Elephas maximus indicus: one gene and its partners. The protein of the gene in region 1 binds, or shares a complex with, the protein of each later gene. Links are inferred from orthologs where the notes say so. Each region holds a gene or a part of one and is shown on either strand. Other genes may lie near its edges. The genes, in order: E3 SUMO-protein ligase RanBP2-like, CETN3, NUP214 and NUP205.

What was found.
Region 2: E3 SUMO-protein ligase RanBP2-like (region 1) and CETN3 share a complex: the UniProt entries of both Homo sapiens proteins name them as parts of the nuclear pore complex. The link is inferred for Elephas maximus indicus from reciprocal best matches to the Homo sapiens genes RANBP2 and CETN3.
Region 3: E3 SUMO-protein ligase RanBP2-like (region 1) and NUP214 share a complex: the UniProt entries of both Homo sapiens proteins name them as parts of the nuclear pore complex. The link is inferred for Elephas maximus indicus from reciprocal best matches to the Homo sapiens genes RANBP2 and NUP214.
Region 4: E3 SUMO-protein ligase RanBP2-like (region 1) and NUP205 share a complex: the UniProt entries of both Homo sapiens proteins name them as parts of the nuclear pore complex. The link is inferred for Elephas maximus indicus from reciprocal best matches to the Homo sapiens genes RANBP2 and NUP205.

What each region holds. Positions count from the first base shown.
Region 1 is NC_064835.1:77,082,882-77,090,265, reverse strand, and holds the start of E3 SUMO-protein ligase RanBP2-like, read left to right. Parts: upstream 1-4,329; 5' UTR 4,330-4,446; coding exon 4,447-4,518; intron 4,519-7,384. UniProt on the Homo sapiens protein: E3 SUMO-protein ligase which facilitates SUMO1 and SUMO2 conjugation by UBE2I. Involved in transport factor (Ran-GTP, karyopherin)-mediated protein import via the F-G repeat-containing domain which acts as a docking site for substrates.
Region 2 is NC_064820.1:97,036,302-97,044,085, reverse strand, and holds the start of CETN3 (centrin-3), read left to right. Parts: upstream 1-4,727; 5' UTR 4,728-4,844; coding exon 4,845-4,861; intron 4,862-6,692; coding exon 6,693-6,828; intron 6,829-7,784. UniProt on the Homo sapiens protein: Plays a fundamental role in microtubule-organizing center structure and function. As a component of the TREX-2 complex, involved in the export of mRNAs to the cytoplasm through the nuclear pores.
Region 3 is NC_064827.1:82,068,803-82,075,855, forward strand, and holds the start of NUP214 (nuclear pore complex protein Nup214), read left to right. Parts: upstream 1-4,043; 5' UTR 4,044-4,164; coding exon 4,165-4,209; intron 4,210-6,880; coding exon 6,881-7,053. Other genes in the region: AIF1L (allograft inflammatory factor 1-like), read left to right, coding at 209-296. UniProt on the Homo sapiens protein: Part of the nuclear pore complex. Has a critical role in nucleocytoplasmic transport.
Region 4 is NC_064826.1:14,293,036-14,300,297, reverse strand, and holds the start of NUP205 (nuclear pore complex protein Nup205), read left to right. Parts: upstream 1-4,223; 5' UTR 4,224-4,285; coding exon 4,286-4,313; intron 4,314-7,262. UniProt on the Homo sapiens protein: Plays a role in the nuclear pore complex (NPC) assembly and/or maintenance. May anchor NUP62 and other nucleoporins, but not NUP153 and TPR, to the NPC.

The DNA of each region.
Region 1 (7,384 bases):
CTTAACTTTGGAACTTCGCCCAGTTCCCAGACTGGCCACTGGGTGGCGCAAAAAATGGGACAGAACCGCAAAGGTTTTGGAAACTGATCTTGGAGCCATAGGAGTTGGAACTTGTGGCTTAAACCTAACCAGGTAGATGGCTGAAACAAAAATCTCTACATTCTTCATAGGATTTAGCCAACACCAGATTGTCATAATATAATATGCAAATAGCACCATAATTCAAAAGCATCAGTTCTTCTTTGGTCTTCCTTATTCATTGTCAAAACATCTCTTTTAAAGTGTTAAAAAGCAAAGATGTCACTTTAAGGCCTAAGGTAAGCCTGACTCAAGCCATGGTGTTTTCAATTGCTTCATATGCATGTGAAAGACGGACAATGAATAAGGAAGACTGAAGAACTGATGCTTTGAATTATGGTGTTGGTGAAGAATATCGAACATACCACAGACTGCCAGAAGAACGAAGAAATCTTGGGAGAAGTACAGCCAGAATGCTCCTCAGAAGCAAGATGCCAAGACTTCGTCTCACATACTTTGGACGTGTTATCAGGAGGGACCAATTGCTGGAAAAAGGCATCATGCTTGGTAAAGTAGAGAGTCAGTGAAAAAGAGGAAGACCCTCAGCGAGATGGACTGACACACTGGATGCAACAATGGGCTCAGGCACAACACCGATCGTGCCGATGGTGCAGGACCAGGCAGTGTTTCATTCGGTTGTACGCAGGGTTGCTATGAGTCGGAACTGACCCAATGGGACTTAACAACAACAACATCCATTGTCCGGCTTTCCCATGCATGTGAGGCGACTGAAAATACTATGGTTTGGGTCAGGTGCACCTTAGTCCTCAAAGTGACATCTTTGCTTAACACTTTAAAGAGGTCTTCTGCCTCAGATTTGCCCAGTGGAATACGTCATCTGATTTCTTGACTGTTGCTTCCATGGACGTTGTTGAATTCAGGTAAAATGAAATCTTTCACAACTTCAGTATTTTCCCGATCTAAATAATCTATACCTGTCTTAAAATTCATAGAAGTATACATCCCAAAAAGGAAAAATTTTTCTATATTATTATTTACCAAAAATACCAATATAAATTCTATTAAAAAATCAATTTGTGCCTCCATCCCCCACACCTGCCCCTCCTTCACTGTGTGCAGTCTTATTTTCACCTGTACCATTCCTTTCAAAAACAGCTTTTAAGAACCAAGTCTAAAGAACTTTTCTCAGTCATCATTCCTGATCTTTTGCATCATTTCATGCTGGTGATTATTCTCTCCCTAAAGCTCTGCTTTTTAGCTTGTGGAATGCTATACTTTTTGGGTTTTCTTTCAGCCACTTTGACTGCTACAGGTAGTAGTATCTTGTTTTCTCTACATAATTTGTCCCTTTTTTGGCATAGTGGTTAAGTGCTACGACTGCTAACCGAAAGGTCAGCAGTTCAAATCTACCAGGTGCTCTTTGGGAACTCTATGGGGTGGTTCTACCCTGTCATATAGGGTCACTATGAGTTGGAATCCACTCGACAGCAATGGGTTGTTTTTCTTTTTTTTTGTTTCAGACTGAGACAGACTAAGAGGAAAGGCCTGGCGATCTACTTCTGAAAACCAGCCAGTGACCACCTTATGGTTGTCAGGACATTGTCTGACTTGCTTTGGAGACGTCCTCAGGAGGGACCAATCGCTGGAGAAAGACATCGTATTTCGTGAAGTAGAGGCCCAGTGAAGACAAGGGAGACCCTCGGTGAGATGGATTGGCACAACAGCCACAATGGTGGACTTGGAACATGCTAGCGATTGCGCGGATGATGCAGGACTACGCAATGTTTCATTCTGTTGTACAAAAGGTCGCAATGAGTCGTAGTCCCCATGACAGCAGCTATCTGTATTTCTATCAGACAACACTGATATAGGGGATCCATCCCCACAGATACACACATGTACATACATACATAATATACATACACATGTATTGTCATCTATCTGTATCTTCTAATTTTTGCTTTGTGCAAGCTCTGCCTTGCATGGTTACAGGGAGGGTTGTGCTATTATGTGATAGCTCCAAATCCTTCCTCAGTTTATGGGTGAAATACCTACTTCTGCACACAAAAGGCATCTTAGACTGTACGGACATTGAGGGTAGCATATCCAGAAGCTTTTCTTTTCAGAGATGTATTCAAAGCAAAGGTATTAAAAGAATTATGCCCAAGAACAAAAGATAATGTCAGGGTGATGGGCAGGCATTCCGGTTCCTCTTGCTTCTAGAGCTCTTTATGAATATTTTTAACCTCATCATGTCTGTTCAGTTCAGAAGCCGTGCGATTACTGAAAGTGCTAGTTAATAAGCAGTACTTTAGTATTACTATAACCAAACCCATTGCCATTGACTCGATTCTGACTCATAGCGACCCTATAGTACAGAGAACTGCCCCATACAGAGAACTTTCCAAGGAGCAGGTGGTGAATTTGAACAGTCGATCTTTCGGTTAGCAACCTGAGCTCTTAACCACTGCATCACCAGGACTCCAGTATTACTATAGTAATAGTACTATACTATCATGTAAATTGGGAGTACTGAGAAGATGATGAACTGACAGTATAAATGGTTCTGATGAAAAAAGAATAACATGATATATGAAAGGTACTCTGTCTATGCAGTGGATAATAATGAGCAACAGAGAGCAATGGTACTTGACCAGATGGTAAAAAAAACTCCTTAGTTTGATCAACATCAAATTTGGATGCATATTAATGCAACGTTAATTCAAAAGTCAAGGACTCCAGACTAATCAAGTAAAACTAAAAAGAAAGCCAGATATTTCTATACGGATTAAAGTCTCATTCCCAGTGAACTGGCACAGATTCAACATGAGTGATGGAGCAGTTAGAGTAGAATTCATCCCGTTGCTAAGGAGTTCTTTGCACAGGATATTATGATGTCTGATTTGGGGGGACGATAATTACTTTTAAGAATAGGTTGGATGGAACTGGTCTATACTGGGAAAAGATGCTGGCTAGAATGGACAACATTAAAAAGAGAGTGCCTACTTTTAAAGCCCAAGAGGACAGGCTCATAGTCCTGTTTGGTGGAAAATGAGGTTCTGAGGCTTAATGAACGTGCTTAAGGAAAGCCTTTTGAGCTCCTCAAGAAGGTTCTTTGACTCATATTGAGCTCCTCAAGAAGGTTCTTTGACTCATATCTTCTCAGTATATTCAGTTTTCCATCCCAAACCAGATTATCTCTACATGTTATTTCTGTTAACGTCGGTCACACTAGAAACCTCAGAATCGTCCTTCCCTTTTCCCTTATTCACATCCAATGTGAATGAAATACAACAAGCAAATACTGTTTTTTATTATAAAGTGAATACCTGCAGTGCTGTACATCTAGAAAATATGGAAAAATAAAAAGGACAACAGTTACCAATAATCACAACATTCCTAATTGCCAGTTAAAAATTTTAACAGATTTCATTTGATATTTTCCCACATAATTAAGACCCCACTGTATGCACAAATGTAATCTCTTGTAAACCTAAAAATGTCTTCACCATTGAAAACATTTTAAGCCTTGTCTTAAAAGTATGATTTTAAGATTCAAAATCCAGAAGTAAACATAGGGGGAACACAGGTGTCCCACTATTTTGAGGTGTCTTTCACAGTGTGCCTATAAGGGTCCTGTCCCTCTCGCCACATCCTTCCTCACCCCTAGCACTCGGAGATTGTTATCCTACTCTTCTACTAAAATCATATATTTTTTTTTTTTGGACGATCACAGTTTTGTTAAACATATATGTAAACAAAACTCTGATCGTCCTATCTGACCTATATGTTAATAGGTCTCAAAATGTACTCTTTTATATAAAAGCGTGACTTTTAAAACGTATGCTTCGTATTCACACGTATCAGAATAATATATTTAACCAATCGCCTCCAGAATGGTTGTTCCAATTTACCAAAATGGCGAGACTGGTGGTTCTTTCCACAGCATTACGTAATTACAACGAAGAACGTAGGAACAAGACTTCGAAGAACTCAAAACATCCTGCTGATCTAGTTAAGAGTCCTGGGATCATACGTGGTACTGGATAGTTTTCCCCACGCCTCCTCCGGCGAGAGCCCTGCCGCCGAAAGCCGGAATCTGAGCCTGGCTCCGGTAGGCTGGTGTGCGGAGACCCGGCGGCCCGGCCGAGCCCCAGCGCGGCGGGAGGGCGGCCAGCGGGCGCGGCGGGCTGTGCGCAAGCGGAAGTCCGCGGGGCTGGCCGGAGGCCTCGCTGCCGTGGCCGGCGTGGCGCACAGTGCTGATGCAACACGCACGCACGTCCGGCCGCTCCTCAGCCGGCGACGACGCTGCGTCACGCGCTTTTGGGCGCTTCGTCCCCACAGACGGCCGAGCGCTGCGGGCCCCGAGGCTGGTCTCCCGCGCACCGGGAGCCAGGACGGGGCGCGATGAGGCGCAGCAAGGCTGACGTGGAGCGGTACATCGCCTCGGTGCAGGGCTCTGTCCCGTCGCCCCGAGAGGTAGGACGCCCCGGGGAGACGTGGGCCTCTGGCCCTGGCCCGGCTGCGGCCCGCGGCCCCGCGTCGGCTTCATGGCCCCCGGCCGGCCGCCGCTGCTTCGCGCGTTCCGTTGAGGCGGCGGCCGATCGCGCGGGCGCTGGGTTGCGTGGCGCTCGCGAGAGTGCGGGCGGACGGGGGGCGCGTGTCGGGGGCGAAGGAGCCGGGGCCGCGCGGGGCCTCGCGGCGGGGCAGCGGCCGGTGGCGCCGGCGCTTCCTCTTCCTGCTGGCCGGCGCCGAGCGTCCTCGCTTGCGGACCCGCCCTGGCCCTTGTTCCCTCGGCCGCCAGCGCTCCGCGGTGGGCTCTCGCCGCCGCTGTGCCCCCGCTTGGCGCCCCGGTGCCAGCTCCGGCGGGATTCTTTAGTCTCCGGGATTGTTAGCTCCCCGACCGCGGCGGAGGCGGCGGCACCTCCCAGGCTGGAAGTTGGTGGGACCCAGCGGGGACTGACGCAGCTCCGGGAGGGCTTTTCCTCGGGCCGGAGCAGGGGCTACCGCTACATTTGCGACTGCTTGACGCACAGCGCAGGTGACAAGGGATGGTCTCCTGTTTTGAGGTGTCCTGCACAGTGCTTCTAAGAGCCGGGTCCCTCTCATCATGTCCTTCACCACTCCTAGCTCTCTTTAGAAGCTTCTTTCGTTTGCTTTTATTGTTCTTTAATGGAATCTTAGGAGTTCTGGATTCCATAGAGAATGTCACTACTGTGACTTAAAAATTTTAACTTTTTACACAACATACTGTTAGGGAACTTTTCCTGTTTTAAGATAAACCATGTATTTTGGATTCAACAGGACTTTAGTGGTCGAACGTGGAGGGTAAGTGTGGCTGTGCAGAGGATCTAGAGTTGGTTTGCCTGAGGTTGAATCAGGGCTCTTAAGCTGTTAAATTGTGGAATTGGGCAAGTTAAACCGTTTTCTCATTAATAAAACGGAGTTGTAACGTTGATAGGATGATCCATATTAAACATTTAAGACAGAGCTTGGCACCTGTTGTTGTGTGCCGTGGATTTGATGTCGACTCACGGCGACGTTGTAGAGCTGCCCCGCAGCGTTTCCAAAGCGGTAATCTTTATGCAAGCAGATGGCCACATCTTTCTCCCAAGGAGCTGCTGGTGGTTGAAACAACCCACCCTGCAAGGTTAGCAGTTGAATTCTTTAACCACTGCGCTACCTGGGCTCCTTTCTTTGGCACACCAAACCCAAAACCAAACGCATTGCCATCGAGTCGATTCTGACTCATAGCGACCTTTGGCACACACTAAGCACTAAACGTTAGTGGCAGTTCATTTTTGTTTTTGACGTGAAAAGGACAGTCATCCTTTTTTTTGGGCAAGGAGGGTCCTATGATGATAAAGATCTGTTTAAAAATTTTAAAAGAGTTTTTAGAAAAGCAGAACTCTTGGATTATCATGATTGTAATAGCAACATAGTTGAGTCTCTGTCTATATCCCAGGCTTATGTTATCTTATTTAGTGCTCCCAACAACCCTGTGGATACTGAGACCTGGAGAGGTTAAAGATACAGTTTAGCTTAAGAGCCTTGTCATTCTTCAGGAGGGAATGAATAGGTATCTACATCTAATTGTAATTTTGAACTGCCGCATAGTCAGAAGTATTACCGGGCTGGCAGTGTCTACAAAGGACCTTCTTAAGGATTTCTGTACTCTCTGAAATTCGTAAGCCTTTTTCGTTGTTGTTTGTCTTGTTCTCAGTAAGAAGACACTGGCTTCCAAAATATTAAGAACTGCTGGACTAGGCAGAAGTTAGAGGGTATGGAAAATGACCTTTCAGCTACCTAATCTTTCCATCCAATAAAGTGAAGATGGGTGCAAAGTCTTAAGGATTGTTATTACGGTCACCTTTGTCATACACTCAAAGAATATTATTTTAATCAGATGTTTTCTTCAAAGAAGGTGAAGAAAAAGAAGGTTTAGAGCCTGAGAATGTCAGCGGGGTATGGATTAGCAAGTGAGTAACTTTGGAACATGCGAAGCCACTCTTTAAGCTTAGGTCTGAGTGAAATGACAAGATAGGGTGCTTTGAACAACTTAAGGAGCCCTGGTGGCATGGTCCTTAAGTCCTGGCCTGCTAACGGAAAGGTCAGCAGTTTGTACCTACCACATGCTCTGTGGGAGAAGGTTATGGCAGTCTGCTTCCATAAAGATTTACAGCCTTGTAAACCCAATGGGGCAGTTCTGCTTTGTTCTGTAGGGTTGCTAGGAGTTGGAATCCACTTGACAGCAGTGGGTTTGGGTTTGGTTGGACAACTTGGAAGGAGAGATGGGGGGAGCAGAGACAGTAGCAGAGTAGAAAGGGGTCTTAGTGTTTACTTCACTCATTTTGGTAGAGGCTGGTCATGTGTGAACTGACCATCCTTTTTAGGATGTTCAGGTTTTGGAGCGTGTTGATGGATCCATAATCTCTTATCTTCCTGGTCTTCCATTGTACTTTCATTTGCGTATCTCTTTATTTTACCTTTTTTCTACTCTTTCACGCTGCTTTTGCCCTTGTTGAAGACATCAGCCACCTGTTGTTGTTGGGTGCCATCGAGTCAATTCTGACTCACAGAGACTCCATTTGACAGAGTACAGCTGCCCCACAGAGTTTTTTTGGCTGCATTTTTTATGGAAGCAGGTCACCAGGTCTTTATTTGGCAAAGCTGCTAGGTGGGTTTGAACCACCAACCTTTAGGTTAGCAGCCAAGTGCTTAACTGTTGTGCCGCCAAGGCTCGTTATCAGTTACTTGTCTTTCTATAAATTTTATTTTTCCAGGTAGCTTTTTTTTCTATGTAGTTTTCTTGATTTCTGTCCAGTTGACTTCCTAGTCCCCATTT
Region 2 (7,784 bases), on another chromosome or scaffold:
GATCTTTTGGGGTCTATCCTGTATGAGGTTTGTTGAGCTTCTTGGATGGAAGCTTTCTTGTCTTTCATGGTATCAGGGACGTTTTCTGCCAATAAGTCTTCAAAAATTCTCTTGCGCTTTTTTGGTCTCCTCCTACTGTGGAATTCCAATCATGCTTTTAAATGATTCCTTTTAATAGTGTCCCACATAACTCTTAGGCTTTCTTCACCTTTCATTTTTTTTTTTTTTGATTCTTCCTCAAATTAGTAACAAGTGATTTGTCCTCTATTTTGCTGATTCTTTCTTCCATTGATTCAGTTCTACTTCTATGTCCAACCATTATTTCTGATATTTTATTGTTAATCTTCTGGATTTCTAGTTGCTGTTTTATATGGTTTACAATTGTCTGTCATTTTGTTCTTATATTGTTTTCCTGAATTCTTCTAGAGTTTTGTCTATATACAACTTTTGAATTCCTTATCAGGTTGTTCCATTACCATCTCTTCCTCAGGAAAATTTTCTGCCCCTTTGCCACTTGCTTGAGCCATCTTGTCTTGCTTTTTTATACAGTTTGATATCATCTGCTGTATCTGAGGCATTAAGGTACCAGGTTAGTGCTAGCAGTTACTGAATTCTCTGGAGGTCAGGGCAGGAGGCCTCATATCCATTTGTGGTTCTATGTGTGACTTTGGTGGTGTCTGTTGGCTGAGAGTGATTTTCTCACTAGTGGATATGGTGGATCACACCCACTTGGAGTCCTCTGTAGTTAGGCTTGTATGTCTTCCCTTACCTGATTGAGTGTAAGTGGTATAGCTGGTTCTTTCCCTGATATTGGGTCACAAATGTTGGGTAGTCTGGGTCCCTCTGCAGCCCTTGTGGGACCATGTGGTACTTCTGGGTTGATGCTAGTAGTTAGTGTATCTGCTGGAGAGCACGAAAGGTCATCTTTGTAGGGGATAGGCTCTGGGTATAGGCACAAATGCTCTCACTGGGCCAATGGGCACTGGAGTGCTCCTGCTGGTCACTATGTGGTAGGTACTCTCCATCCACTTGCTGGGCTGCAGGCTAGGGGGCATTTCTGCTGGTTGCTGGGCAGTGAATGCAGGCACACTCCTGCCAGTCTCTGTATAGCAGGCATGCTCCTGCTGGTTGCTGGGATGCAGGTGCGCTCCTGCCGATCACTAGGTGCGCTCCCACTGGTCTCCAGGCTGCAGGTGTGCTCTGACCAGTCCAGCAGTCCTAGGTGCTCCTGCCAGTTGCCGGGTGGCAGGTGTGCTCCTGCTGGTTGCTGGGCAGTGGGCGTGCTCCTGCTGGTCTCCAGGCAGCTGAAGCAGACTCCCGCCAGTTGGTGGGTAAGGGTGTGGGGGATGCTCTTGTTTGGCTGCTCCAGGCAATTGAGGCCTGGTTCATTTAAATGTGGGGGAGTGCATGGAGACTGGCTGGGTGTGGTTTTACTATTCAGTGGGTGCTTCCCGGCCAAATGCTCAGGCACTGCCACTGGCGAGTAGTACCTTTCCTAGTTCCTGGCTCCCTCCCCTCTGCGCGGTTTGTTTGCACAGTATCTCTTCCTCCTGTTGTGAGCTCCATGTAGTTGCCTTCCTGTGCTCCTTACCCAGGAATGCTGCCCGCTTTGTTTCAAGATGGCTATGTTGTGCCAGGCGAGCTGGCAAGGTGCTGAGGATCTGTATATCTCCATGTGTGCTGTTTTCTTTCAGTCTCTCCTTCCACTTGGAGCTCAGTCTAATTCTTAATCCTTCTGTTTAATGATCAGGGTTCCCTGGTTGTCCTGTATCTGTTTCACTTAGTTTCTAAAGTACTTGATGTAGGGGGACATTCTGCATGTCAGTCTAAGCCACCACCTTAGGCTTTCTGTGCCTAGTTTTTTAGTTTTATTCTATTATACTATCTTTACAATGGGCTGCAATGATGTGATCAAACATAGCAACGACTGTGAGGATGGTGCAGGATGGGTGCCATGGATTGAATTATGTCCCCCCAAAAATGTATTAACCTGGTTAGGCCATGATTCCCAGTATTCTGCGGTTGTTCTCCACTTTGTGATTGTAATTTTATGTTAAGAGGATTGGGCGGGATTGTAACACCATCCTTACTCAGGTCACCTCCCTGATCCAATGTGGAGGGAGTTTCCCTGGGGTGAGGCCTTTACCATGTTTTATAAGGGACGCAAGCAGAGAGTTGGGGACCTCATACCACCAAGAAAGCAGCACCGAGAGCAGAGCACGTCCTTTGGACCTGGGGTTCCTGCACCTGAGATGCTACCAGACCAAGAGAAGATGGATGACAAGGACCTTCCTCTAGAGCTGACAGAGACAGAAAGCCTTCCTCTGGAGCTGATGCCCTGAATTTGGACTTATAACCTCCTAGACTGTGAGAGAATAAATTTCTCTTTGTTAAAGCCATCCACTTGTGGTACTTCTGTTATAGCAGCACTAGATGACTAAGACAACGGGGCAGTGTTTTGTTCTGATATACACAGGGTGCTATGAGTTCAAACCGACTCAGTGGCACTGTTGTGGATTGAATTGTGTTCCACAAAAATGTGTGTCAACTTGGGGCTAGGCCATGAGTCCCAGTATTATGTGGTTGTCCTCCATTTTGCGATCTGATGTAATTATCCTCTGTGTTTTAAATCCTAACCTCTATGACGTTAATGAGGCAGGGATTATAGGCAGTTATGGAAATGAGACAGGATACAATCTACAGGATTAGGTTGTATCTTGAGCCAATCTTTTTTGAGATATAAAATACAGAAGGGAGTAGAGAGGAGAGAGACCTCCTGCCACTGAGAAAGAAGAGCTGGGAGCAGTTCATCCTTTGGATCCTGGATCCCTGTGCTAAGAAAATCCTAGACCCAGGGGAAAACTGATGACAAGGACCTTCCCCCAGAGCTGACAGAGAAAGCCTTGCCCTGGTGCTGGCATCCTGAATTTGGGCTTCTAGACTGTGAGAGAATATATTTCCGTATGTTAAAGCCATCCACTTGTGGTATTTCTTTTATAGCAGCACTAGATAAATAAGACAGGCAACTAATTACCTGTCCATATTTAGCTCATTCTTCTAAGCCTAACACATATGCCATCTCCCTGAAGAAGCCCTACTGTGTTCTTTCCCTTCTCTAAACCTTTATATACATCCCTTATCTTTATCCCATTGCTGTCAAGTTGATTCCAACTCATAGTGACCCTATTGGACAGGTTAGAACTGCCCCATAGGGTTTCCAAGGCTGTAAATCTTTCTGGAAGCAGACTGATGACATTTTTGTTCTGCAGAGTGGCTGGTGGGTTTGAACCACCGACCTTTCAGTTAGCAACTTAGCTCTTAACCACTGCACCACCAGGGCTCCTTCCTTATATCATAACCCATTGCTGCTGAGTCAATTCTGACTCATAGCAACCCTATAGGAGAGAGTAGAACTGCCCCGTAGGGATTCTAAGGAGTGATGGTGGATTCAAACTGCTGACCTTTTCATTGGTAGCCAAGCTCTCAACCACTGCACTGCTTTATATCATGTTAATAAGTTAAATATTTTCTCTCTTCCTTACTCACACACTCCCTCCCAGGATTTTATTCATGTTTACGAGATTTGCAGCTTAGCTCAGTACTCTTCCCAGCAAGATTCTATGAAATGCAGCACATATTTTTGATGCATTAGACAGTGTATGGATTGTTAGTGGCATTGAGTTCACCCTCAACTAATAGGGACACCATGCACAATGGAATCTGATCATTATGAGCCATAGGGTTTTCACTGGATGATTTTTCAGCAGATCACCAGGCCTTTCTTCCTGGTCTTGGTCTGGAAGCTTGGCTGAAATCTGTTCAGCATCATAACTACACATGTCTCCATTAACAGGCATATAGTGACTGTGCTTGAGGTGCACTGGCCAGGAATCTAACCCAGGCTCCACGTGAAAAGTGAGAGTCCTACCATGGCCTTCAAATAGTGCTAGGTTGCTAGGACTAGAGTTAAATGGAAGATACAAGTCTGGCCTTCAAGAAATTCAACATAGTGGGGAGATGAAAAAGTAACCATATTAGCCAAATGAGCATCAAAAAACTTGGTTTGTTACTGAAAGTAACACCTTGTGTATGAACAGTTTACAGCCCTGGAAAATAATATGAGACACAGTGGACAAATCCCGTCAAAGGAGTTCAAAGGAGAAAGAGGGGGGAGAAGAGGTGTGATTACCCATAGGACCTGCTTTGAAATCACTAGGACAAATATAAGGGGGGAAAAATGCAGATTTATACCTCCTGGAATCACAACAGGGAAAAGGAGGCACTTAAGGATAGGTTTTAAACTCCCTAGCTCTTGGGCCATCCAAAATTTTAAGAAAACAGTGGCGCCAAGTTTCGCTGACCTCATCACCCATCTGCTCCCTTTAAATAGCTGGGAGACGGCTTGCAACATGACTCCTGCCTTCCTTTCTTCCGAGGTAGCTCGTCTCCAAACAGCAGCCAGTACACGGCGCTCTCAAGCGGACATTCGCCCACCCCACCGCCAAACACCGCAGAGGCGACCAGATCCGGGCCCCGCAAAGGATTCCGGGTAAAAGCATCTGGCCAATCTAAAGGGCCGACCGAGCTGCAGGAGGGACGAGCAAGGACGTTTCGTTGTTTGACGTTAAACCTGTCCAATGAGAATACAGAGTCAGTGAGGGCCCCCGCCCCAATAGGCAGGATATTAGCCAGTTTCAACCAATCCAACTCAGAAGTGTTGTCTTGTGGGCGTTCCTTGACGCTGCTGGCGCCGTTGGTGTCTGTTGAACGGGCTTTGCGAGTCGGGCTGTGTTGGTAGGGTGTTAAACTCGTTCTTGAGAGGAACGTCTCTGTCGGAAGAGAACATGAGTTTAGCTCTGAGGTCGGTAATGAGGAGACAATGCTCTCCACACCCCGGAGCGGGACCCAGGGGTGGGTGTGTGGGCGTGTGGAAAGAAGGCAGTTTGAGATGAGGAGCGGGGCGGGGACGGAATCTCGGCCAACTTTCTTGACCGCGGAACCCTTACGCTAGGAGCCCTTGGTGTTCCGTAGGTGATGAGTTCCGGCTAAGGTGATCGTTTCTGTCAACCCGTTTCGGTTTTTGGACTGCCAAGGAGGCAGCTACTGTGTTAGCGATCGTGGAGGGAGTGAAATATCGCGAGGCTTTCTGCTCTGGGTGTCCCTGCGAAAAACCAGGCCGTATCGTATCCTTCATTGAGTTCAGTGATCCCAACCTCCGGCCCCCACCTTCTGTTAAGTTGCTGACGTAATCACTCAGTTATAAATTTTGGAAATAATGCAAAGCTCCTCCTTGTTCTTCTCCCCGGGCCCTGCTTTGCGGTATAATTGGAGACACGTTTTAGTGACTTTAGTTGACAGTATCTTAGATTTCCTTAGATTGAGTTCGTTTCCCTTCATTCTAGCCTTTAACCTTCCCGCTCCACTTGCTTCTCCCTCCACCATCCCCATGTAGACGTTTTATCAGAAAAATACCCGTGTAGTTACGCCACTCTAAAAGGTGCTGTTTTCTACTAATGGGCAGTTGTGGTATTCTTGGATTGAGTCAGTTGTCGGTCGGTTGCAGACTTGTCCTCTCGGAATCTTGGGACGGTAACGACTGACCCCGGGAATGTCGAAGCTTGTGTGAAGCCTGGTCTCTTGTGAAAGAAAGATCTTCCTTACCTTTCTCATGCTTCACCTCCTGGTCACTTTCTAGCCATCTCTTTTTTTTTTTTTTTGGTTGCGGATTTCAGAGACCAAAACAACTGGAAGCGCGAATAACACGTTCTAATAAAATCAACTGGATTTTACATTATAAAGTTTTATACGATTTGTCTATACATGTGTTGCATCACCATTTGAAAATTTGGACCACATAAAGATTGGCGTCTCTTAAGACGTTTCTTCTGGCTTTTGAAATAAATTTTGCTTTTATTTTTCTTTAAGCTTTTCCAGAATTTGTTATAAGAAATTTATAATTTACATGCTAAGTGAGACTAGAAGACCATTGAAGCTTCATCTTATCTATATAGGATTAGCACAGTATTATGTACTTTTTCTTTTTGGCGTTTAATATTCGTGATATGTTTAGATTCAGTATTTTGGTTGATTTGTTAATATCAATGGATTAAATCACAAAGTGCCAAGCCATTAGCAATATGTAATGTAAAAACGTTTTGAACCTGCAGTGCCAAAATCTTTAGTAAGTTAATTGATAAATTATATGGTTTTATTTACTTTTTTTTGTAGTAATTTTTAGGATAAATTATAAGCACTCTCAAAAGTAAATCGAGTATGTATGGTTTCATAAATTATGAATTTTACTTGGAGGTTTTTTTAACTATATATTGTAGGATGATATGAATAAAGTTTGCTTTTTTGTTGTTTGGGGTTTAATAAAAGTAATGTTTTTTGTTTGGGGTGACGTAAAAGTAATGTTTCTTAATCACCGTTGTTGTTGCTTCCACAGTAATATTAACGGGAATTAACACAAAGCTATGAGGACTGAAAGTTAGGTCTTTGTTTTTCTTTCGAAAACCTGTAACGCTCTTCGGTTCTGGGAAGGGGCAAATGTATAGAAGCTCAGACAATTCCTTTTTAGAAAATCATTCACTGGATAATTTTTTATTTGTCTTTTTGCAGTCTTAATAATTCAGAGGCATAAGAGAATAGAATTAGAGTAGACTAACAACTTTTTTCTGTCCATTTCATAGAAATGAGCTTGTAGTAGACAAAACAAAGAGAAAAAAGCGAAGAGAACTCTCTGAGGAACAGAAGCAAGAAATTAAAGATGCGTTTGAACTATTTGATACAGACAAAGATGAAGCAATAGATTATCATGAGTTAAAGGTAATAAATCCTTTAAAATACATGTCTGTGTTATAATGATTTGCATTGTTGATAGTTTAAATATTTTTAACTGAATTGGTTTTAGAAATATGAAACAATTTTAAGCTTTCACAGTAAAGTGCTATAATAAAACTGAATACTACCCCTTACATACCTTTTCAAAACTCCCTTTTACATGGTAAAATGAGTTTTAAATAGTATTTTAAGCAGTATTTGAAACCTTGCATATATTCTTATGGCAGTTACTTATTTTTCATTCATGTAATTGAAAGATTTCAAACTATGGGATTTAAACAGCTCTTACTATATTCTTGCCATTTTTTTGATGAATCATTTTTTCAGTGTTTTTTTTTTTTAATTTTAACATGTTAGTAATAAGGTTTTAATCTACTGTCTCTGATGCAATCAACAGAAGTGATATCTAATGTTAATGGGGAAAAATGTCAACTTTAACGCCTAGAATTATTTATAAACATACAAGGGGAAACTGTTTTTGTTTTAAATATTGTGGTAAATATATATGCAACAAAGTATTTGATATTTCAATAATATTTATATGTACAGTTCAGTGACATTGTGTTCATCATGTTCGACCATTACCCTTATCTGTTCCCAAATTATAGAGAAAAACAGTTTTGAATGGCTTTCTAGTAGCCTTCATAGGTATGTGAATATAATAAATGTTTATTTGGTGGTTTTAATTTTGGTAACTTTGTATGGGATTTTTAAGCACAAAATTCTGAGTAGGGGAAAGAACTGTGCAGTGACAGGACGGAATGTATAAAAGCAATACTAGGCCTGTAAGTCTGGCTTTCTCAGTCTTGAGGTCCTCTTAAACTCTCTTCCTACAGCTTTTTTTAGTTACCCACATTTGATCATTTCTTCTATTCTTGCTATTACTCTCTTGATTTGGGACCCTATTTCATATCTGGAAATATAATATTTGGAGCTTCCTA
Region 3 (7,053 bases), on another chromosome or scaffold:
TAAAGTCATCATTTTGCACCTGTTTTCTCCTCTGTACAATGGCCCTAGCAGATTGCCCTAGGCTTCCACAAGATCCCACTGGGAAATGGATTTGAGGGGCATCTGTTGAGGCCCGTAGACTTGAGGGCTAGATGATCTTTCCCTGGATAGGGGAAGAAGTCCTAATCCTTTTTTTCTTTTCTTTTGTTTTTCTCCATCTCCAAACCAGAGTCATGATGTTTGAAGGAAAAGCCAATGAGAACAGCCCGAAGCCAGTTGGCCCTCCTCCAGAGAGAGACATTGCCAGCCTACCCTGAGGACCCTGCCTGGACCTGCCCCTGCCCTACCTGGCCTCCCCGCCCCTCCTCCTCTCTCCACATCTCGCTGGCCTTCTTGACTCATTGTGATTTGTCTTGTTTGTTTGTTTGGTCATTGCGGGTTTGTTTGTTTGTTTCATTGGACAGAATCAGTGATCTTTTTGTAAAGCACAAACTACCTGCCTTAAAAGGGCTCTGGGTGGTGGAATCCTGAGCCTTCAGTCCCCTCTTCACCCATCCTTCCATCCTCCCTCTGCAGAAGAGCTGACATCAAACCAAAAACCACAGGGACAGGGGAAGGGCCAGAGCCAGGGCAGGGAGGCTGGGAAGGCTCTGGAGTTGGGACAAGGCTGCAGGGCCTTGTGAACATTTCCTCTGGCCGCTCTGTGTTTCCAGCGTTCTTGGCTTGGCCCAGCTTCCTGCCGGCCACACCATGGCCTACCACCCCAGCTGCTCTCCACTCAGTCTGTGCTTCTTATCCTCAATGAGGGTTCTCAAGGAGGCGACTGGAGGAGGGGAAGAGAGGAGTTTGGCAATTTGAGCCCTTTGAGAAGGTACCGGAAGGAGCTCTCTGGCCATGCCACCAGCAGCGACCACACTTTTACAGGCAGTTTGGAGGGCAGGTGCAGCTGCACAGGCCGGCCGTTGCTGGAGCAGGAAAGGGCTTTGGAGGGAGAGATGGGGCCAGGGACCTTAGGGGAGGGGTCGCCTCAGTCTAGTCTCTTTTAGGAAGGATGCTGAGGGCAAAAGGACAGGAGAATCAAGAATAAAATGTTCATGGCACAAAGAGTCAACCTTACTATTAAACCAAGAGCTACCTTTCTGACCCCAATCTTCATGAAACCTGACTACTCTTCCCCCATTTGTCTTCCCACCCTACTCACACGATTCACTTATTCATTCTACAGATATTTATTGACCATCTGTTACGAGCTTTAAGTCCTTCCCCTTTATCCTGACATGTGCTGTGTCCACTGTCTCTCTAAATCATCTCTCCTTTTCCAAATCACCCAAAACCTTGAGTTTTGGAATTGGATTGGGGATACCTTTGTTCTTTATTATAGACTCACAGGATTTAAGAGTCCCAATCCACCCTGCAGGTTAGCTGGGCAGTCCTCCCATGTCACAGGTGAGAAAACCATGTTTGGCCCATAGAGATTAAGTGCCTTGCCCAAGGTCAGGGGGTTAATTTGGAGATGGAAGGGTCTGGACCAGAGCTCAGGTCTTCTGATCCCCTGCCCACACCTCATCTCTGCTCTGGAATCCTCAGTTAGTTGTGAAAACAGGGAAGGATTGGGGAAAGGTAGTCTCCTAGGTCAACATTTGGGTAAGATTTTCCTTGCCTGGAAGGCCCTGGGCCAGGATTAACTACCCAGCATTTCCAAGTCAGCATCAGGGTCTGTATAAGGCCTGGGACTGCCTTTACAGTTCTGGTGCCTGGTTCTCAGAACACATGCAGGAAGATGTCAAACTTGGCCACTTCTTGGCTGAGCAGGGGGTCTCAGCCTTGATACCACCTGTGCTCTGCAGTCCCTTATCTCTCCCCATGCAGGACTTGGATGCACTTATTCATTGAACGTATTTATTAAGCACCTGCTATGAGCAAAGAACTAAGAATCCAGCAGTAAAATAGGACAGACTCATGGAATTGTGAGTCTAGTGGGGAAGTCAGACCCAGATAATAACATGAGAGATGAATGTTAGGAATGGGGGATACAAGGGTAACTGCCCTGCAGTCCTGGGGGAATGAGCTGGGCCCAAGACTGGAGACTTGGAGAAACCTTTGCAAAACCTAAAGTAGAAAGGTCTGGGGGCTGTTGGAGCCAGTGCGGGCTCCCTGTGGCTCCTTAGTGACCCATAATCAAGGGCCCAACGTGCTGCTCCCTATAGTAGCTTGAGAGGATAAGGGAGGAAGAGGGTGGGGAAATGGCCAGGTTAGATTAGTCCACTGGTCTCAACCAGTTCAGGAGCAAGACTATTTGGCCATGACTGGCTGATCTTCAGCCTAAGAAGCTGCTTCAAATGCACAGGCCTAGTCGAAGTTTAAACCCCAGTAAAACACTCCACCCTGTAAATGTAAAATCCCACCTCTACCTCCTCTGCCTTTTTTTTTTTTTTTCCTGAGATCAATAGATTAGCAGCTACCTGACCCCAAGGCTTCTCACTGCCTGTCCTCTTTGGGCAGGCTGGGACCTTTGAGCAAGGTAAAGCCTTCCTTACTACCCATCATATTCAGTGTACCCGTTCCTCACTCACAGAGAAAGACAAAACTAGCCAGGCTTATTTCAGTGGGTTCCGCAGCTTACAAGACCGAAGGAAGCCTCCTTAAGGAAGGAAAACAAGCTGGTGTGTTTCCAGCTTCTGGAAAGGGCCGGAAGAGGGGCTCTCTCATTGGATGGGGGGGTACCTTGGGAAACCCCATCAGTTCCTTCACCACTTCTTAGAACTCAACCCTTGGTGGAAAGGGTCTCAAGAATGTTTCTCGGACAAGGGGCCTGCATGTATTTCAGGTTGTGGCTATTGGCTCTAGGATACTTACTTCTCTGGCTAGGGGCTCAGCTTCTTGGCGCTTCAGCTGTCTTTATTTCTGAAAGACCAAATCTATCTGTAATGTAACCAGCAACTTGGGGACTGCCAATTATGGCTTTGTCCCTATGACTCAAAAGGAAGGAGTTTGTTGGGTAAATCCAGGTGGATGAAGTATGTGTGTGTGTGTGTGCATGTGAGTGCGTGTGGTGTGGGATATCATCTCTACAGATTGGAAATAAACCAGACAAACTTATCGATGTCATGATTGGTTTATTTTTAATACAGTTCTTTAGCTCAGCAAATTCAGAAGAGCTAGTTAACAGATTAAAATGTGCCAGACTTATTTAACCCTCACAAAAACCTCCGTGAGATAGGTTCTGTCATTGTCAACCTCTTACAGATGAGAATTGGGCTTGGAGCAGATAAACAACTTACTGCAAACCTGATAGTGGTAGAATATCCTACAGCATTTATAATTCCATTACAAAAAATTTCTTCTACAACAGGGCTGTGTAATAGTTATCAAATTCAGACAACATGAATTCTAATCCTACCTCCAACACTTTCTGGCTGAGGGGCACTGGAGGAATTTTCTTAACATCTCTGTGCTTCAGTCGTCTCATCAATTAAACGGCAATCCCAGGTGGCTGGGATGTCTTGACAATTAAATAAGATAAGCACAACTAAAGGGTTTTGCCCAGAACTCAGCACAAACTATTTTGTTAACGGAGATAGATACGGCTCTTCAAAGGAGTAAACAAAGCTGGTCTTTGGTGCCCTTTTTCAAAACGGACTTTTGTGACAAGGTTCCATCCACCTATTTTCTGAACTTCTCTTCCCTTACCCTGCCCCACCAAAGCCTCTCTCAAGAGCCGCCCCTGTAAATATTTGTCAAGTCCCTGACATCTCTGCATCGGGAACAATAACCACCTACATCGAAAGGTTACTGTGAGGTTTCAACGGAACAAGGTGCTTGCAGCGCTCAGGCGTCAGACGCCGAACGAGTAACTCCAACCCTAGGCGAGACCGTAAGCGTGGGGGCGGAGTCAGGACGCTCCAGGCGGCAGGCGTGCGGGCCCTAGGGCCACGCCCCCACTCGGACTGAACTGGCCAATGGGAGGTGGCAGTCCGAGGAGCGCGCGGCTTCAAGTCTACCTCTAGTTTCCTCAAACACTTAGCGGAACAGGACGCGTGACGTCATCAAAGCGCGCCGGAAATGCGAGTTCAGCTGCGCGGTACTGTCCCTGAGGGAAGGAAGTTGGCCTCGGAGCGGCTTGTGCTCTGTGGGCAAGGCCCAGGCCGGCAGCAGTAGCTGCTTCGACAACCTGTGTGCGGCGCGATGGGAGACGAGATGGATGCGATGATCCCCGAGCGGGAAATGAAGGTCAGATACTGGCCAGGGGCTCCCTCCCTTAGTACTGGCGTTGCCTTGGAGCCCCGCCTTCGGCTTGAACAGGTTACGGCGTTCAGAGTTCTCACTGGCGTTGCTCTGGAGCGCTCTGTTGTGCCGCTTGCGTGGTAGCCCCACGGAATGAGCTTCCCCGGTCTTTGTTAGTCTTGTGCATTCTTCTGGAGTTATCTTAGCTGCTTACATGTGGTAGTCTGAGTAGTGGTAATAACTGTTTATTGAGCGTTTATTGTGTGCCAGGCACTGTGGTAAGCATTATCTCCCTGAATCATCACCGCAACCCTATAAAGTGGTTGTTAGTATCCCTGTTTTACAGAGGAGAAAATCGAGACCCGGAAAGTAGCTTATCCAGTCACATTTGACAAGGGGACTGAAGTCTAGGTTTATTTAAGACACTTTCTTCACTGTCACGGTACTACTTCTGTAGGGCGGTCCAGACTTGCTTAACATAGAGCCGAAGATCAGGCATCTTACAAAACCTTTAGGTAACTGGCATAGAAGGGCTATTTTGGCGCAGCACATCAGCTTAAGGTCAAGAAAAGGGGAGAAATAAGTGGTCCAAATGATGGTAAAGTTGGAGAGTGCGGGGGTAGGTCCCCAGGATGGTTGTGTTTGACGTTTCTTATAAATTTTCTGATAGAACGAGAGTACAGAGAACAAGCTACATTTCTTTTACATAGCAAACGGCTAAGAGGAAATAAGTTACAGGAAGATTTCAGGCATTCATGTGAACAACAAATCCCTAGGAAGCATTTACCCACCCAGTGCCCTCGAGTCGTAGGGATAATGATCCATATTTAGAGTAATGATTCTTACTTTTTCTTCTTGAGAATCACTGCTGTGGTGAGCAACCCAGAGGGAATGTGTCATGTTCCTCAGATATGCTGGAGCAGAAGAAAAGAAAGGTTTTAGGACCACAGCCTTAGAAACGATAGTCTCCCTTTGAGTTATATGATTGTAACAGAAAGGAGAGTTCTCCTGTGCTTCTTCATCCCACTGGCCTACTGTACCCATGTGATTAAGACCCAAATAAAAAATTTAGGATTATCAGGATAAGAATTACAAAAATGAAATTTTTATTCTCCTCCTGTATGAAACTATAGTGTGGTCTCATCTGAAAAGCTGTGTGAATTTCAAGGTTTCCAAGGAGTGGCTGGTGGATTCGAACTGCCAACCTTTTGACTAGCAGCCAAGCTCTTAATCACTGTGCCACCAGGGCTCCTAGTTGGAATTAAGAAAGAGTATTTCAGTTAATCTTTTAGCAAATATGTATTAAACACCTAACCCAAGGAAACTAGTACGTGGGTTGTGTTGGGGCCATAGAGTTGGTTCCTACTCATAGCAACCCTGTGTACAACAGAACTAAACACTGCCTGATCCTGTGCCATCCTTATGATCATTGTTGTGCTTGAGCCCGTTGTTGCAGCTGCTGTGTCATTCGACCTCGTTGAGGGTCTTCCTCATTTTTACTGACCCTCTACCCAGCATGGTGTCCTTCTCCAGGGACTGATCCTCTTGTGGGGTGTGGAAAGGATCCTATATGAAACTGTATAAGAATCCAGTGTGGAAAAAAAATGAAGGCTGAGAAAAACTGTCCTTGTTTTTTACAATTTTGGATTATAAGCATAAAGTTGATTTACTGAGGCCTTGACTTAAAGACAGGCTTAGAATTATATTAAAAAAAAAAAAGTGTGTGTGTGTGTGTATATATATATATATATATATACCCACAGTGTAGTTTAACATAGTGATTGATAAACTTATGTATCTCTTATTGAAAACTTAGATAAATCCATGGAAGACAGGTGAGTCAGACATTGGCAGGAGATCAGGGGAGGAGGCTCCCAGGCCAATTATTTATGTCTAAAGGCCTTAAGGTACTAAAGAGCATGAGGACTGAGGGAAATGGGGTGGGGGGGAGCAGGGAAGGTAGCTGTAGCAGTGGTGATAGTGCATTTTTTAGAGGAAGCGGAGATGAGACTACAGAGGTAGAGGGATCAAGCCATGCTTGACCTTATAGATTGTGTTATGAATTTTGGTTTTGTGTTTTAAATGTTCTCATAGCATCTGTGTTTTGCTTAAAAGCATTGAGCTTCAAGAGATTGTCCATTTCCATTTTGTGATAGAATGCTTTTTTGGCATATGATATAAGTAAGCCAATTCTTGGGCTTTGGTCATCTTCTGTCATCATTATTTCAATATATATTTGTTGACTACTACACTAGAAGTTAAGAGTTCACTGTAGTTAGGTGATACTTTCAATATTTAACAAGTATTAAGCTCTACTCTGGGTCTGAGACAATATGCACTTAACATGACAGGATAAGATTATAAATAATATAGTTTGTGGTGATTCGAAGAATAAATACAGTAGGAATTCAGAAAAAAGAAGAGATCAGTGTGAGCTAGATTAGTCCAAGAAAAATTTCATGAAAGTTTTCTCTCATTTATCTCATTTAACAAATATTGCACACTATGCCAGGCACCATGATAATAAGCACAAGAATTTAAAGACACACTGTCCTTAGCCTCAAGGAATTATATTCTTTTGTTGCCTTGGAATTGGGTCTCTTGGAATATAACGACAGACATAATTTTCTGTTAGCCCTGAATTTTTTTTTTTTTTCCCCTCAATCCTTCACAATAGGATTTTCAGTTTAGAGCACTGAAAAAAGTGAGAATCTTTGAGTCCCCTGACAAGTTGCCCAAGGAACGCACGAGTTTGCTTGCCGTGTCCAACAAGTATGGTCTGGTCTTTGCTGGTGGAACCAGTGGATTGCAAATTTTTCCTACTAAAAATCTTCTGATTCAAAATAAACC
Region 4 (7,262 bases), on another chromosome or scaffold:
TACTGCTGATACTCAAGGGGTGTGAGAGCAATTTCAAAGAGCATGATACAAATACAAGGGTTTGCTGAATGTGCAGATACATTTTGGTTCAATTTGCGCAGGACAGGACTAGTATGTCACAAGTTACATGATTATAGTCGCAATGATGCGTTCTTTTGTGTTTGGTGAGCAACAACTGAATGTGAGGTCATACCTGATAGGTCCGAAATGAAAAGGAAAATATAATTGTTATCGTATACAACATTTATAAAATATGCATTTTATTTCTTTGTGGAATCGTTCAACTCCCATATTTGGAGATACATACACACATAACTGATGTAACGATAACAGCACTTCTCGAAAAGCAAGTTTGTTTTGTGAGTCATAACAATGTCAATCGACTTCTGAAAGGAAATGGAAAATAAAATACACTTATATAATTTTTATTATCTAACGTTTCATTTAATTTATTTCCTTGAGGAATTGTTCAATTTCCTTACACAGAGATACATAAATATTCTGATAAAATATAATGTTCTGATAAATGTCCTTTGTTGCTTTCTTGGAGGATGAATTTATAAACAGACTCATTGTTGCAAAACAGAAACATATTATGCATGATAAATATTGAATTTTGCATAATCTTAACTTGCCTGATACTGTGTTCATTAGCACATATACAGCAATATCAAGCACTGTGTTCACACAACAGACAATAAAAAACAAAACTCACTTGACACATAAATTAAAACTTTCCCTGTTAGATAAATATTATTATTTCTAGTATTTTTGGATGTTTGCTATGTTAGTATTACATTAAATTATTGCCCATTAGTATTATATTAAATGTATGCTAAACTGTGTCTGCCTTTATGCCAAACATATTTTAAAGTTATAAATGTTATTGTTTACATTACTTAGGACATAATTCAGTATGTAAATGCTAGACAGTTAAAAAGTAACTTGATTGGATTCATTGCAGTAGTTGACTTATTTGAGTTCCCTCACTTTTGCGAGTCATCTGGGACTGGAGTTCCCATTGGCTGTTTACCAGGACGTGCACAAGACCGTATCCTTGTGTTTGCATCATGGCCAAAATCATTGTCTCCTGGCTGGAGTTGCTGGATCAGCAGATATGGACGGGTGTGACTGGATCTGAGACTTGTTATCTATTAATATAATCCATCCTTGCCCAGTAACCACTCTTGTTGGATCAAGCTGCATATTGGATGAATGTAGCAAGAGTTAGACTTGACGGCCCACCCCACCTCTTATTTATTCGGAAGAAACAGTATACTCACAAGAGACTCACTGAGACAAGGAATTTCGATTACACAGGAAGGGACCGTAGGAGACAGATGTCAACAAAGATGTTGAAGTGGTAGGGGCCTCATAGCTTAAACAACCCTATGTATAGGCACTGTCGTGACCTTGTGTGAACTTTATTTCTGGTTGGCACATTCTCACGCACTGGAATGAGTATCAGTTTCGTTTAGTGCCTTGCCAGTTCTCTTCCTCTGTGGTGCTTGCTTTTCCTTGTGTCTTGTCTTCTTGGCATCTATGGGTCTTTGCTTTGGACAACTGGTGCCCCTGTTTTGTTGACACTCTAAGCACGTGCTTACCTTGGTTATTGGGTAATCCACCCCTGGCTGCAGCGAAGGACTCAGACGTGCTGGCAATGGTAAGGATGATGCAGGACCAGGCAACATTTCATTCTGTTGTATATGAGGTTGCCTTGAGTCGGAGTCAACTCGACAGCAGCTATCTGTCTATTTTAAGATCTGAAAGAGCTTCGTGTATGCAGTTAAATCTCAATTAGGGCAATGAGAGAAGTTATGAATAATCTAAAACCATTGGGAGTGCAAGATTATAGCCTTCTGTCTCTTGGAATGGATCAATTGGACTGTGGCACAGTGCAGCCCCTCGTTGCAGATTAATCACAAATTGTTTAATTGTAGAGCACTCCCAAGGCCTCAGTGCACTCTAACAGCCTGGTTAAACTAGCCCTAAGTAATTGACTACACCTCCATTTCGCACTTATTTTACCATATATATATATATATATATATATATATATATATTGCTGTCAAGTCAATTCCCACTCATAGTCAAGTCAATTCCCACTCATAGCGACCCCACAGGGCAGATTAGACATAGCTTATCCTTATTTAACAAATGCTCATATAGCCTATGTGTCAGGCACATTCTAAGCACTTTACAAATAAGCCTCTCAACAACCCAAGGGCGTAAGTACTATTGTCATCGTCATCCTCTTTGAAAGGTGAGGAAACTGAGGCACTGAGGATTGTTTCACAGCCAAGTGATTGAAACAGGATTTGAACCCCAGAAGCCTGGCTCTAGGGTCTGGTTTCTTAACACTATTCTACATGGCCCCTCTCTTTCTCTCCCAGTAAGTAGATTATGGAGGCGCCAGGAGAGAGGCCCAGACTAGAGATACAAGTACGGATTTATCAGCCAACAGGTAGTACTAAGAAGCCATAGGATCTCCCAGAGAAAGCATGTAGAACAGAGACCAAGGGAGGGACCATGAGGGGAGAGCTACATTTAATGGGTGAAAAAAGGAAGAGCAGCCCATGCAGGAAACGTAAAAGGAAAACTAGAAAGAGGAAAACCTGGACGTGTGATGCTCCACAAGCCAAGACCAGAAAAAACGTTTCTAAGACATTCAGAAAAGTGCACGTGGGATTTGACAGTTGGTCACAGGTGACTTTACTGGGAGCAGTTTTAGAGGGGTGGTGATGGGGGCAATATCCTGATTGCTATGGGTTGAGGCATCCCATGAGAGAACTTGAGTCAGTGTGGTGATGGGTGAGCGTGAGCTGCAGGAAGTTAAATCATTCCTTCACGGAAAGCAAAGCCATCGACCAAGAGGGAAGTATGTGGGCTTAAAGAGTGTGTGTGGGAGGAAGGCTTGTAAGAGTTGTGCTGAGAAAGAAAATCTTGTTTGGACTCTGCTTCCTTCCAAGTTCCCGATCAATTTTCTTCTCACCTTCATGGAGAACTTCATGAAAAATCCCTTCATTCTCTCTTCCTCTCTCTTCCCCTTCATTCCTGAGAATCACTTTCATTGTAGCCTGGCATTTGCCTCTATACTGAAATGGCTTTCAAAAAAACCACCAGTAACTTTTGTGTTTCACCTAGTGTACATTGGACCAGTCTCACTCAATATTATTTGTTCAAAAGAATGAATATACTCAATATTCTCAACAGTATACTCTATGGTTTTATCTGCATTATTTAATTCTAATTCTGACAGTGAACTGGGAATGCAAACCCTATTTCCTCTCAACCTCAGTGAAATATTGGAGTTGATAAAGTGAGACTGTAAGACACATGGAGCATCTTTGAGATAAGCAGCTATAATTTTATCATCCCTCTTATAGGGTTGTGGCAGGAATTAAATGATATAATGCATATACGATTTTTAATATATGCCTGGCATAAGTTGTAATGATTTTTATATTTTAGTTTGATGCAAGTGAATAAACAGGGCCCAGCTATTCTGATGCTTAGGTAAAAAATACTTGGTGTTTCTGAAATATGTCAGGAATTTGCTGCGGAGAGGGGAGAATTGGCCAAGTTTTTGACGTTGGAGGCTCGTTATTTTTATTTTGTATATGTTCAAAACTTTCATAATAAAAAGTTATGATTTGTTTCCCTTTGATTTCTTTCACTCTCTGTAATGTTGACGCAACATGCAAGGAAGAGTTAGTTTTAAATTAAGAGAATTATTTTGAATGCACGGCTTTTATAATATCATAAACAGGCGACATTTTAATAACTAGTCTCAGGATGTCTTTGTCCAGCGTTACGGAGCCCTGGTGGTGCAGTGGTTAAGAGCTTGCCTGCGAACCTAAAGGTCCGCAGTTCCAATCCACCTGAATCCACCAGCCACTCCTAGGAAACCTTATGGGGCAGTTCTACTCTGTCCTATAGGGTCGCTGTGAGTCGGAATCGCCTGGAAAGGAACGGGTATAAACAAATTTCACTTATCACCAGGAAGAAACTACATGTCCCAGGATGCCTAGAGGCTCAAAGTAAGACAGAGGGCCTCGCGTCTCCGAACTGGTTGCCCTCGCCTTACCTGAATGGGATTAATCCCGGTGGAGATTGACGTTTGTGACCCAAAGCAGATTCTCGAGTCTTTCGCCCGCCCAGGCCGACCGAGCGCGCCGTTCGGAGGGGACAGCGTGGAGCTTTTCTGTTCAGGCGCCGCTGCGGGCAGCCTCACCCCGTCGGGGTCCTCCGTGCGGCCCGAGGGCTCCGTTAGTACGCCTCCAAGATGGCGACCCCGTTGGCGGTAAATTCGGGTGAGTGCGGCCAGGGCAGGAGGGAAAGGCCGGGCAGGGCAGGGCGGAGATCGGTTCTTCAGGGAGGAGCTCGGGCTGTGAGGTTCCTCCGAGGCCAGGCCCCCACGCGTGCTCGGTATCCGCCTTTTTCTAGCTTTGGGCCTAGGGTCCCGCTCCTCTCAGGTTTGAATGGCACGCGTTGGCGCGGCGGCTCTGGCCCTTGGGTCGGCGTCCCAGGGCCGAGGCAGTGAGGCTTAGTCCCCTGCAACCGGATGTGCAGTCTCTCCCAGCCCGGGGCCGAGTCTGGTTCCTGCTCCCCCTACCCTATTAGGTATCCTCGGCCCGGGTTTCGCCAAGATAGGCGTCAAATCTCCGGCAGTGAGCCCAAAGGACCTGAGAGATTTTTCAGCCACGAGCGGAAGCTGAAAAACTCGAACCCCAAATCCGTAGGGAGGCACCGGAGCCGCTGACAGGGGAGTCCTATAGGCAGTGAGGACCCTTGATTATGCAGTCTGCGATCCGGAAAGTGGCCGGGCTTGGGTTGCCGCGGGCTTGGCTGATGACTCCCAGCTCTGCGGGCGTGGCCCGGCTCTGGATGCTCCTGTACCTTTGGGGCAGTAGATCTTCGGGGTGGAACAGAATTTAGAAGGTGGCAAAGGAACTCTAAAGAGCACTAGTGACGCAGTGGTTAAAGCGACCGACTGCTAACTGAAAGGACGGCAGTTCGAAACCACCAGCCACTCCGCAGGAGGAAAGTGTGGCAGTCTGAGTCGGAGTGTACTCGGTGGCAGTGGGATTGGAAAGGAGTGCCGGAAGATTTGGGGTGGGGCTTCTTTTGGTGTTTTTCCACCCAGGGCGGTACCTCCCCCAAGGACGTTTCATATTGGGTGCATTTTTGATTGTCACAATTCCTGGGGTGCGATACTGGCGCTTAGTGGGCGGGGCAAGGATGTCAGAAGTCCTGTATGGGCGGGGCTGTCCTGAAAACGTAGGATTTCCCGCTGGGAATGTCAGTAATGCCCCGGTTGAGACGCACTTAGCTTCTTGGTCACAATTAAGAGAATACCTGTGCGATAAATCTTTGTAGAGAATCTCACTCAAGAGCACTCCTTCGTGGGAGCCTTTTGCCTCTAATTATGCAGTGCCTTTTTGGGGGGGAGGAGTGCAGGTTCTACTTTTCACAGAACGGGTACTCCTGAAAAATTGTCTAAATTTGAGTTTTATAAACCAAACCACTTAAAAACACTATGATAAATTATTTTATAATAACGATGGTTTATATTTATTGAGCACCTGTGTCCCAGGCACTGGACTGACTGCTGTACTTGTATTATCTCGTTTAATTCCTCTGAGGCGCCTATGGAGTGGTGGCTTTTAAATACCTCGCTTTACAGACTTGAAAACAGAGGCTTCGAGAGGTTTAGTGACTTCCCCAGGATTTATACAGCTTAGGGGCTTAAATTACTGCACCCCGCCCTCAAAAAAAACCAAACAAACCATTGCCATCCAGTCAATTCCAACTGATAGCAACCCTATAGGACAAAGTAGAACCGTCCCCTAGGGTATCCAAGGAGAGCCTGGTGGATTCGAACTGCCGACCTTTTGGTTAGCAGCTGCAGCACTTAACCACTACGTCGCCATGGTTTCCAAACTATTGCACGCTACTATTTAATCACAACCCAATTCATTTTATTACATCAAATTTTCATATATTTAAATTTTAATAATGAGGTTACGTCCTTAATGTTGCTGTCACGTTTCCTACCAGGTATAAACTTAAAAGCAAGGCTTGTATACTGTGTGTGTGTGGTTATATATATTTCCTTAGTACTTATTCATCCTGAGTTACTATCATTAAACACTGAAGCAGAAAGGAAAAGCAGTTGTCAACAGTTGCAAAGTGTTTATTGTACTTTGTATAATAAAGCCTGTGGCAGAGCTTTTAATTGGCTATGTAGAAAAGAAACATTTTTTTAAAATCTAAGAATCAGGAGAATTTTTTTTTTTTTTTTACAATTGTAGAAGGGGAAAAAATAGATTGTAGAGTCCTAAGACCTGTGTTTGAACTTCACCTGCATGACTTACTAGTTGTTGTTAGTAAGCAACCATTAACAGTACTTGACAGTGCTTCCAGTAATCTGGTCACCTCTGCCCCATTCACAGCAGTGACAGTTTCAGACCTTTTTCACACTCCTCAAATCTTTAACCTCCAGCTGATACCTCAGCCTCAGCCACCTAGTCACAGAGAACATGAGAAGCCAACAGGCACAACCTCTCTTTTTTCACCCTTTGTCACACATACAAACCTAGATATCTCTGTACCCTTTCCAAGCAGTTTCCTCCCCTCCTCCTATTTAAGGCAATATCCCCCTTTTTTGTTATTTTAATTAGTTTTTATTGTCTTTTAAGTGAAAGGTTACAAATCAGGTCAGTCTCTCATGCAAAAATTTACATACACCTTGCTATACACTCCGAATTGCTCTCTCCCTAATGAGATAGCACAGCCCTTCCCTTCACTCTCTCCTGTGACCATTCGGGCAGCTTCTGGCCTCCTCTGCCCTCTCATTTCCCCTCCAGACAGGAGATGCCAACATAGTCTCATGTGTCTACTTGATCCAAGGAGCTTGTTCTTCACCAGTATCATTTTCCATCCCATATTCCAGTCCAATCACCGTCTGAAGAGTTGGCTTTGAGAATGGTTCTTGTCTTGGGCTAACAGAAGGTCTGGGGACTATGGCCTCCAGGGTCCTTCTAGGGCCAGTCTGACCATTAAGTCTAGTCTTTTTACAAGAATTTGGGGTCTGCATCCCACTGTTCTCCTGCTCCCTCAGGGGTTCTCTGTTGTGTTCCCTGTCAGGGCAGTCATTGGTTGTGGCCGGGCACCATCTAGTTCTTCTGGTCTCAGGCTGATGTAAATTCCACTCTTTATGCCCTGCTCCCTGTCTGTTATCCTTCTCTCTCTTGTATATT